Linked DNA regions of Astyanax mexicanus. The protein of the gene in region 2 interacts with the protein of the main gene of each other region in a pairwise test. Links are inferred from orthologs where the notes say so. Each region holds a gene or a part of one and is shown on either strand. Other genes may lie near its edges.

Region 1 (3,756 bases), on a different chromosome or scaffold from region 2:
CACTTACAGCGGATTACAGTTCACATCAAAATGGAAAGAAGATCCAGCGGCGGACTGCCTGAGCATTCATTTCTCTCCTTTTTTCTCCGGCTTTCTATTTCTCTTGTTCTGCTTTGTGGGAGCACTTGGGATGAAAACAAACCCTCCTGTATATTTTGCCTCCGTTTCAAATTCCATCGCTCCAAACTGCAGATGTGGGCTGTTGGCCACGTCTACCCTCCGAACTGCCGGCCTGAAGCAGGAGGGGGAAAAAAATGAGGCGGGGGGGGGACTGCATTGAGCCGCTTCCCATCTCATGTAAACACAGGATGAGTTCCAGCCATCTCCAGCTTAAAGAACAGAGTAATATAGAAGGACAAAGAAAAAAAGACACAGGAAAAAAGAAAAAAGAAAGAAAAACAGACATAAGGAAAGACAAATGGAAAAAGAAAAGGTCAGGTGACCAGCTCTTGCCGCTGACCACGATTAGCAAAATAAAACGAGTGATGAACCTCAAAAATGCCTTCTAAAGCTCTGTCAATTCATCAGGGATCAATGAAGGTAAAAACGAATCCGTAAAAAACGTAATACTGTATCAAAAGTACAGACGCTCCATTCATAGACACTCAGAGGTACGTGCAAGTTCAAGGGTTCATATAACACCTTGGGGGACTCTTAAGCAGTGAAGTGTGGAAAACACCTGAAAGCTTCTCCTTTGGGCTAAAAGGCTGCAAATGCTTTTGGAACCTTCAGGTGTAAAGCATTTTTACACCTCAAAGTACAGACCAAAGTCTGAGACAAAGTTCATGTTTTTTTTTTTTTTTTTACATTGTATGCAAGACATTTGGTCAATTTTGTCAGCTTTGGTTTCACATTGCAGTTTAGCAAGTTCAATAAAGAACTTTTTCATCAACATTACCTATGACAGCTGTGTTTCCTAATATTTGACATTGATTGGTTTGTAGAAAATCCTAGGTCGGGTGGCAATTGTGAGTCAAACTGCTTTTTCACATGTTGTACCAATTTCTGCTTTCCTACCAGGATCTGACAAACTTCAAGTAGATTGAGAAATCACTAGAGTAATCTGTTGTACCCATGTTGTACCCAAAACCTAGAGACTTTAGGGTGGACTCCAATCTTTCTCTGGTGACCTTGGAGCAGTGACAGTTAAGGGCCTTGCCCAATGGCCCAACCAGGGAAGATTATCAGAACTGGGTATCAAACCCACAATCTTGATATTAATGACCCAGTGCTCTAACTACTTAGCTAAAGTTGCACCACTGTTCTGTGGAAAATAAATGGCATGGCATAATAAACCCTGTTTCCTGGAATGTTCATAAGAGTTGGTCAACCGATCAAAAAGATTCAAACAAGAAAGATTGCAAAGGAACAAATCATGCTCCATGGAAAAATACAGGTGAAATCATTCATTAAGATGGTAGATAATTAGGTACGACACCTACGGCATTCTTAGAAAGTAAAGGAAGCTTCTCCCATTTTTTTGCGATCCAAGCTGAAATGGTTCCAGAAAGACGGCCATTCTCTGTTCAGAGCTTGAACAGCAACATCTCCATTGACGTCAGTTCCTGCAGACTGCTGGGAACAAAGGAAGCCGTCATTGCTCAAAGCACAAGGGGGTTGCTGGCTGACACCACCTTCCCTGCACACATCTCTTTCAGGTCGGAGATGGTTACAGCAAGTAAGCGTGGGTAGAGTGGGCAAAGTTCCCTGCTTAATCTGTCTCAACCAGACAACATCTCAGATCTGTGGATGCTACTGATGGATCAGCGTGGCTTCCAATGCTCTCATATGTTTGGACGAGTCCAGGGCCAGGACGGAGGTCGAGTTTCGCTCTCTGCTGGCCCATTGCTGTCGGGCCGGGCGCCTGCTCTGGTTCACAGCTCCCAGGGCAGAGAGCGAGAGCGGCGCAGGAAAGACTTACAGCAGGAAATACCTCACCGAGTCACCCCACTGGGATCGTAAGACAAATGAAAGAAAAGAAGAAAAGAAAAAACAACAGAGACTACGGGAAGGAGTGCTGGCAAGATAGAGATGAAGAGCAAGATGGAAGAGAGAAAAGAGTGGGAAAATGGGACAGCAGAGATGAACAAAAAGAAAAAGAAAGAGAGAAAATGAGGTAAAGAGAGACACTGATATAAAGAGGGGGAGGAGAAGGAAGAAGGTCTGGAAATGGTTTCTGCAGAAACAGCCCTGAATGGCTCTTTAATTGGGGTTATATGAGACGTTGGATGGAGGCTCTTTCCACGCTGGCTGTTCCCTTGTGCTTGTTTCTCCGGTCACTCGATTGGCGAACCGTTGTGAAGAAAAAAAGCTCCGCTAGGCTCACAAACCCTTCATGTCCTCCTGGCTCCAAGAACACTGAGATTCCATGAGCCACATAAAAGCTAAAGGCTAACTGTCCCCGAGGATAGCTGCAGAAGGTTAATGGAAATGTGTAAAATTGTTCTTCATTCAAGGCTTGAATCGCTTAGGCTCATTGCTGCCTTCAGGAATGAAATATGGGGAATTAAACAATAATTATCCCGCTCAACGTTTACAGGTTTCGAATTCTCACCACAAAAATTGTGAGGGGTGCTTTAAAGGCTCAATTAAAGAATGTGTACAGACGCCAGCTACAGGGGTGGTAATGCCAATAACAGCCAAGGCCAAGTCCAACTCGGGCTGAGACTGAAGTTTGGGGGGAAAGAAACTGAAAGATATATCACATGTCCTTGGTGCAGTTTGGGTACGTTCCCAAACCTAAGTGTGGGTGAGGGTTTTTTTTTTATTTTTTTCCATAAACCTGAAGTTCTTCATTCATTAACAGACATCTTTCTGAGGTAATACTCTCAAATATACACAGACACATCACATAACCAGTATCATGTCTTTTCACATGGACATTTTTAGCCAGATGCCGCTGGTTATGATCATTACCAATGCTAACATTGCCCTGTACCACTTTGGCTGGTGATCCCTTCTATAAACTTCGGAAATGGTGGGACTCATATAAGGACTGCCTTTAACAATGAGCACACTCATTCTCAAGATAACACCTTACAACTTATACAGCTCTGAGTGTTCCCAATCTGAAGCCACTTTATATGGCAACGTTTCACAATGAATCCATTTTAGGGCTGGGGTCTCTTGTTAAAGTAATAAAAGTAATTAAATATGAACAAACTTCAATTTGCGTAACGTGCATCAAAGATAACGTACCACGCAAGGACAGCAGTGTCCACTGAGAATAAAGGATGGCATGTCCACACACAGCACACTACATTTTGGCATGTCAGTGCACATCTGTAATAAAAAAAACCTAATCCAGAACCCATAATGCGAAATAAAAGTCAAGTTAAGTCAAGGTTTTCCCTCTCTTTCCCCGGAAAAGGTGTTAGCGACGGGTTTTGACGGAAGCTTCTTGTAGTGGGTTAGCTCCCATAATACCTATGGCTTTGCAGCTTAATTTCTCTGATCAGTGCGATAAAAAGCTTTAATACCATCCCAGCAGCTTACTCATCGATCAGGACAGACCCCGGGAGCCGTCCAAACCCCATACAGCACTTGTCAGAGCGAAAGTGCGTCCAGAGAACAGGGTGCATTCAGGACAGACGAGTGCATTCGAACAGATGGGTTGCGTGAGCCCGCGTTCATGTCTTCAGCCTAACTCTACACGGCAGATCTGGTCCGGGCTCAGCGATTGCGCTAAACGCACGAAACACATGGACAGAATCTTACACGAAGCTTCAGCCGTCGGCTCAAGAGGGTCCGGCTCAC
Region 2 (3,756 bases):
CATTTATCTGTCTTTGATATAATATCATCTTATTTTTGAGGAGGTTTTCTTTTAAATGTCAAATCATTGCACACACAATCCGAATACCCTGAAGTTTATCAGTAATCAGATCATCACATTTACATGAACTTGAGTAATCAGATAATGAGAAACCCAGAGTTTACTCAGATCAGGAACTAACTAGGTTATTGGTTTGTAAGCAATAAAATTACAGTATAAGATGCAAACATCATGAAAACCTAAACTTCATGACACACTTTTTTTTCAATTGAGCCAAAATATGAAGGTACATCAACTAGATAAAATATTTTGTCTCTATCTCTCTTATCGCTTATAAAAGGTCACCAAACCCTCTGATTTTAGCTGACTCCACCCTCAGCTCAAATCTGAAAAATGTATTAAAAAAAAAAAAAAGCTTAAAAATGTTTTTGTTTGGGTGGGGCACTGGGTGATGCATGGGTTTAGAGAGAGCTAATTGGGCTGAGCAATTTGCCTCTGATAAAGATGCAGATATTTGATTTGGACATTACAAGGGGGTGGTATTATTGATTGACTTATTTGCATACTGTGAGTGTCTGAGTACCAAAGTACATAGACATCTCATCCTTGCCTATAGCACAGTTGAACCTGCAAGGGGACTGCAGAGGTGGAAATAACTGCAATACAAGCTTTTTTTTTAAAGGTTAAGAAAGGTTTATTTAAAAAAAAACTGAAGCAGGACTGGTATGTTTTATTACATCAAAGGAACACATTTCAGCTATTAATGAAAAGAATATGGTTTAGGGGTAAGTACCTCGGTAAACATGGTCTGTTTTTACTCATGCACACACTAAGGGCCTTTTCGCATCATCAGTAGTGTAAAAATTTGATTTCTGCTCTGCTCTCCTCCTAGTACCCCTAAAGAAGTCTAGGGAAGTGCTGCACTAAAATACTAGTTAAAATCATCCATGTTTTTTGGTCTAAAATTTTTCCTTGGTTGCATGAGAAAGAGCCTTAAGTAATTTAAGAATACTAAAGCCCTATACGGGAGGGAATAGTTTCTCAGAGAGACGTCTGTGAAAAATATTTTACACTTCTACTCAGTGATAAAACTCCTGCATCCGGTCTGCAATTGAAAAAAAAAATAGGAGGACTAGTGAGTTTTTTTTTAGAATTTTAGCTTTCTCAGTCACATGACATCGCATTCAGTAGCTCCTCCATTTCCACTCGCTGTTGTGTTTACGTGGATCTCCGTGGAAACGCGCACCCAAAGTGCAATTACGGCATGTGGCAGTGAACAAATTTTATTTAAACTATTTTATTAAACGCGAGGTGATGGAACTCAGAGATGTGCAGAGATGTGCATACTGAGCTAAAATCCACCTCTTTTTAATCAGATTGCTTAATTGGAATTTTGATAAATACTTTGATTTATGAAATTCAAATATGTAGATTATATTACTGATTGAATAATCAGATAACAGAAATCAATATCTGAAAAAATGACAGATTAATCGATTATCAAAATATTTGTTGCAGCCCTACTTTTACACTGTAGGCACACATCTGGCATCACTACAGTAAATAAAGGAGGTTTATCATTAATCTTGTAGCTCCAAATTTGCCCTATTTCTTTTACTGCATTTGTGGTAGAGCAAACTTTGTAAATTAGAGTTTATTGCAATTAAATTAATTAGATTGCAATTGTATTCCGTACACTGTAATATAATATTAACTAAAAGGCTTTTATCACATGTTAAGGGGGTTTTATTAGTTTAGGTTGGATGTTTAATGCTCGAATTAAGACAGTTTTGCAGTTCTGGTCAATTCTCCCCACACTCAGAAATATGACACAGAACTATTATTAATATCTGCTAATATTATAAATACTATTAATATATCAGTCATTATTAATCGCAGCTGTATCTCTAAAGTTTGAGTACTAAGCTAACTAACTAGGTTATCTAACCTAGTTAAAGCTAATAAACACTGTGCTCTGGTTTTTTTTTTTTTAGCCAAACGAGCTCATTTAGCTTAATTTATCTTAGCTTAGCTAGGAGGACTGACTCACTTCATGGTGGTCTTCTACAATCCACACGGGCAGTTTGGAGTAAGTCCGTTTCACCGGCGCTGCTTTCATTTTGATAAATATATAAAAACTGCTGCTGTATTTTAAACGCAGCCTGTCAGAAAGTCATGGTCGTGAGAGTCTAGTAATCAGGCTAGCTGCTAACAACAACAACAGAGGGAAGAGTTTCAGTGAGACACGGTGTAGCCCTGATTCAGCTCCGGGCGGGAACAGCGCTTTACAGTCCGCTCTAAATCAGAAACAGACTGGGAAAAAAATCACATAAACCATTTAAAACAGATAAATTCAATGTATATCAACATGTCGACCTCATATAATCACCTAATTAATATAATAATTTTTTAACTTAATCTTTTTTTAAAAAAAGAAAAAGTATGTAAATTGAGTAAATTGACGTATATGCTTATATTAAAGGAAACTAAACCGTAAACCCAATTTAAAAAAAAATAATAAATAGCTGAAATGTATTCCTCTGAAGCAATAAAACATACAAGTGCTGCTTTTAAAATGTTATAATAATTTTCTAATAAACTCAATAAACTTTCATTTAAGCCAATAAACTCTCTCTGCTGCCCCAACTTTAAACCCATACATCATACGTCCTAGTAGAAATCCCAGATTTAATGTGCTTATTTTAAATTTACACAGCGTATGTGCTAATATATGGTGCTTAGATTTATGTTTATGTACTTCCAATGCTAGTTCTATTCTATTGACATGTTAGATGCCTTAACTTATGTGTTTTGTGACCAGAGTGGTCTCCTGTTGGATAATAGTTGTATATTTGAATGTCATTAACTTTATATGTTTAATGCTCAAACTTTCTGTATTCTTTTTGAAATTGATCTAGCAGTGGTCGTGGCCAAAGTCAAACTGTGCTAATCAATCAAAATCAAATACAGCAGAGGATAAAATCAGGGGTCAGTAATGTATTTTGACCTCCTATTGGTATCTGTATTTGCACATGTTTATAATGCATTTAGTGTCTGGCTGATGAAGAATCTGCCAGGCAGTTTGTTGCAACGACCACTGTGCTTCTTTCAGTCCAGTAATACACCCTTCTTATAGTTTGTCAACTAGGCAAAATGTCTACATGTGCATCATAGGGGCATGTCTAACAGTCAACAGACTCTCATCAAGAGGTTCGCTACCCAAAAGTAACCTCTGTGAGCCTGTTATAGGTAAGTTTATGCCCCCTTGTAGAAAGACCACACCTGTAATTAGTTGCATCTGCCTTAGACATGACTGCTGAGTTTTGCAACAGTGTTGGGTGTATGATTTTTTGTCAGTGAGTGTATTTCTGATTCTGAGGTTAGTGGCGATTCTGAGGTTAGTACCTGCTTGCTGTTTGTTTAGCTCGTCTCTGTTGCTAGTCTCTGTTTTAGCTATTTGTTTACGTTTTCTACTACTTATTAACTTTTAACCGTCTTATAACCTTCCTAAACTTATAAAATCCCTCAGGTAGCCATTATTTTTGTGTTATTTCTCGATTTTTGCCGTTGTTTTTGTGTGTTTGTGCTTACTTCGAGGTAATGGCGTGTGCGGAGGATCGTGCTCTTCTGACACTCAGCGAGGAGCTCGTCTGTCTGGATCAGCAGATCCAGCGCCTGCTCGAGAGGCAGTCGGAGCTCCACCGGCAGAGAACGAGGCTGGAGGAGTCCCACGACGCCGCCTTTGCGGCCGTCTCC
Region 3 (3,756 bases), on a different chromosome or scaffold from region 2:
AATTAGTACATGCCTTTTGCACGTTTCAAGCCGCATAAGGCATATTTTTTGGGCCCTTACAATAGCAAAGACACAATCACATGCCCTGCATCCAGCTGCACAATACTCAATTGAATATATACAGTATATATATAATATGTATGAAATATTTACTGCTGCCTGTGGGACTGATGCTGCTTTTAAGTGCACCTCGGAAGCTCATTCTGACGATTTCAGACTAGTAAATGTGACGTAATTTCGAAGTAGTAACAAAATTAAAATGGAAAACTGAAACACAATAAAAACAAAATGCTTTTTTGTTTACTTTTGTGTTATATAATTGAAATATATTTACAGGTACTGCAAACAAAGCAAACTAACAAAGAGCAATGTAAAAGCATTAGGTAATCAACAATTTTGTCCAGTAATCAGTATTAGTAGCATGTACAGTACAACTGTTATGAGAATAAACAGTTAGAGTAAGCCGATTCCCCATAACACCACCTCAGCACCAGATGCTTCATCAGTCCATAGGCTACACTGTGTGTGCAATGTACCCACTATCATTAGCATTATTAGTAATTACATCAGATCATACCAGAGTTCTTCTGGTTATTGTTTTTAATCTTACAGGAATTAATGTTCCAATTGATTTCCTCTTTTAAATACAGAGTGGTGTATCAGTGTGGCATATAATTTTAAACTATTTGAAAGTATTATCAGCAGACTGGGGTGAAGTGTGTTGTAGGAGGTGCAGTTTGTGGTTGGGGTGAAGTGTGTGGTAGGGGGTGCAGTGTATGTTAGGATGTGCAGTATATGCTAGGGGTTCAGTGTATGGTATGAGGTGTAGTATTTGGTGGTGAGTTAAATGTGTGGTTGGGGTGAAGTATGTGGTAGAAGGTGCAGTTTGTCATAGGGGGCGCAGTGTGTGGTAGCGGGTGCAGTGTGTGGTAGGAGATGCAGTATGTGGTAGGAGGTGCAGTGTGTGATTGGGGGTGAAGTGTTTGGTATGACGTGCAGTTTGTGGTTGGGGATGAAGGGTGTGGTAGGAGGTGCAGTGTGTGGAAGGAGGTGAAGTGTGTGGTAGGGGGTGCAGTTTGTGGTAGGGGCCGGAAGGAGGTGCAGTGTGCTGTAGGGGTCGGTAAGGGGTGCAGTGTGTGGTAGGGGCCGGTAGGAGGCGCTGCGTCGCCCCGCTGTGTTTCCCTCCAGCTCAGAAGAAGACGGCGGGAAGTAAATATGGCGGCTCGCACACAGCGCGCTAATGCTAGCGCTAACGATTCATAAACACATCAAAAAGCGAATTAATCAACCCGGAGTTCATCAATACCCCGATCTATAATCCCGCACAGCGCCGCCGGAGCGGCCGCTTCTGCCCGGCGCGGAGGATCCGAGCTCCTGCACAGATTTACCAGACAGACCGAGCGGCTAGCGGGACAATAAAACAGTAACTGCCTTTATCATTGCTATTATTACTAATATTAAATTATTCACTGATATTTTAACTAATATAATATTATTTACTGATATTGTCAGGTATTTTAAAGGTTTTTGGAGTGATATAACCGTAAATTCGTTATTAGCTGCACGTAAATTCACAGTTAGCTTCCAATTCCTGGGTGCACCTTAAATCCTGCAGCAAGTGCTGCAGATTTTAAGGTGGAACGAAAAGTTAGCTAGAAAACAAAGCCAAATTCTCAGTTATTAGGGCACATTTTGGGACATATACAGGGTTAATGCTCTTTCGCTGACAGGGACAAGTTAACATTTATCAGTTCAGTCATCAGATTAACCAATTTTGGCACTCTGTAACAACAAAAGTGGAAAAAATCTAAAACGTAATTATTTAATAATTTTTTTTCCTCTAACTGAGATTCTGACTGTGAGAGGCAGAAATGCACAGCTTATAAAACTGTAAATACTAATGAAAACCATTTTGAGCTGACTTGTTGAAAATGTACTGATAAACATCACACATTACAGTGGTCTGAAAGGCAAACTTAAATAAACATTAATTATACATTCATGGGAAAACTATATGTCCTGACATAGTTTAACTTAATTCCTTTAGAAAAAGTCTGCCGTGTTTCATTTCCATAATTTACTGCAGAAAAAAGAACAGGGAGGTGTGTGGTGAGTGAAGGTGTGTTAAGGTGTGTTTGTGTTGTATTTTGCAGGTGAGCAGCCATGGGTCGCAGGTCCACCTCCTCCACCAAGAGTGGGAAGTTCATGAACCCCACAGATCAGGCCCGTAAGTTCTCCGCCCGTAACACACACACACACACACACACACACACACACACACACACACTCACACTCACATACACTCCTATACACTCCATCTGCCATGGAACCCACACTCTTACACATTGTACATCCTGTAACACACACTCTTACACATTGTACATCCTGTAACACACAATCTTACACATTGTCTATCCTGTAATAGACAACTCTCGCACTCTGTCCATTCTGTAATACACACTCTCACACTCCAACGTCCATCCTCCAACTCACCCTGTTATACACTGTCTGCCCAGAAACACACACACACACACTCACATACACTCCTATACACTCCATCTGCCATGGAACCCACACTCTTACACACTGTCCATCCTGTAACACACAATCTTACACATTGTCTATCCTGTAATAGACAACTCTCACACTCTGTCCATTCTGTAATGCACACTCTCACACTCCAACGTCCATCCTCCAACTCACCCTGTTATACACTGTCTGCCCAGAAACACACACACACACACACACACATTGTCCATCCTGAAACTCACACTCCATCCACCCTTGAACACACAATTTCACACTCCATCTTTCCTGGAACACACACTGATACACTTGTCCACCCTAGTCTTTTGCTTCCTCTCAGTGCTTCTCCCTCTCACATGATAGTAATGCTGCTGATACCTCAGACTAAAAATGCTTTTAAAACTAATGTTTGTGTGTGTTTAGGAAAGGAGGCCAGGAAGAGGGAGTTGAAGAAGGTAAACACAGCTTTTTCAGTACTGAGCATAAGGTGTTTATACGTTTTGTGTGCCACAGCAGATTTACTGTGTGTGTTTGTGTGTGTGTGATCTAGAACAAGAAGCAGAGGATGATGGTGAGAGCGGCGGTGCTGAAGATGAAGGACCCCCGCCAGATCATCAGAGATATGGAGAAACTGGATGAAATGGGTAAAAGCTGTGTGTGTGTGTGTGTGTTTAGTGTGAACTTTTGAACTAAATATTCATACTAAGTTCAGACTGCAGGCAGATCAGATTAGTTTCTGATATCAGATCTGTTAAGATGACTGTCAGCTCTTGTCCATTATTTGTAAGTGATGAGATTGAATTTGCATGTCTGGACATCACAAGCATATCTGCACTGGTTGCTGTGGTTTCCAGGTTAGAATCAGTAACTAGCCATTGGTGCTCTATTTGTATCCTCACACTTTCATTTTTAAATGTGATGAGGTTGTTGTTTGTCGTGTTGTGAAAGAGGTACAGGAACCTGAAATTAAATTTGAGAAGCATCTGTACATATACAGATTACCTTTTTATCAGATTTATTGTGGTGTCTGTCTGTCCAGACTATCAAAATCATTCTGAATACAAGGTTTGCCAAAAATCCGATTTGGGCTGGGACTCTTAACGTAGCCTTAGATTCTTGCTCATTAATGTGTGTGTTCTTCTCTTTCTCTCTGGTAGAGTTTAACCCGGTGCAGCAGCCTCTGCTGAACGATAAGGTTCTGAGAGATAAGAGGAAGAAGCTCCGCGAGAC

What was found.
Region 1: the proteins of c4h5orf22 (region 2) and elof1 interact in binary tests that used the Homo sapiens proteins (3 or more experiments, as listed by UniProt). The two-hybrid records come from large-scale screens. The link is inferred for Astyanax mexicanus from reciprocal best matches to the Homo sapiens genes C5orf22 and ELOF1.
Region 3: the proteins of c4h5orf22 (region 2) and WW domain-binding protein 11 interact in binary tests that used the Homo sapiens proteins (3 or more experiments, as listed by UniProt). The two-hybrid records come from large-scale screens. The link is inferred for Astyanax mexicanus from reciprocal best matches to the Homo sapiens genes C5orf22 and WBP11.

What each region holds. Positions count from the first base shown.
Region 1 is NC_064426.1:39,527,200-39,530,955, forward strand, and holds the start of elof1 (transcription elongation factor 1 homolog), read right to left. Parts: upstream 2,321-3,756; 5' UTR 2,310-2,320; intron 1-2,309. UniProt on the Homo sapiens protein: Factor involved in transcription-coupled nucleotide excision repair (TC-NER), a mechanism that rapidly removes RNA polymerase II-blocking lesions from the transcribed strand of active genes.
Region 2 is NC_064411.1:36,990,783-36,994,538, reverse strand, and holds the start of c4h5orf22 (UPF0489 protein C5orf22 homolog), read right to left. Parts: upstream 2,247-3,756; 5' UTR 2,120-2,246; coding exon 2,051-2,119; intron 1-2,050.
Region 3 is NC_064410.1:8,168,326-8,172,081, reverse strand, and holds the start of WW domain-binding protein 11, read left to right. Parts: upstream 1-1,168; 5' UTR 1,169-1,423; intron 1,424-2,153; 5' UTR 2,154-2,163; coding exon 2,164-2,227; intron 2,228-2,949; coding exon 2,950-2,981; intron 2,982-3,076; coding exon 3,077-3,170; intron 3,171-3,683; coding exon 3,684-3,756. UniProt on the Homo sapiens protein: Activates pre-mRNA splicing. May inhibit PP1 phosphatase activity.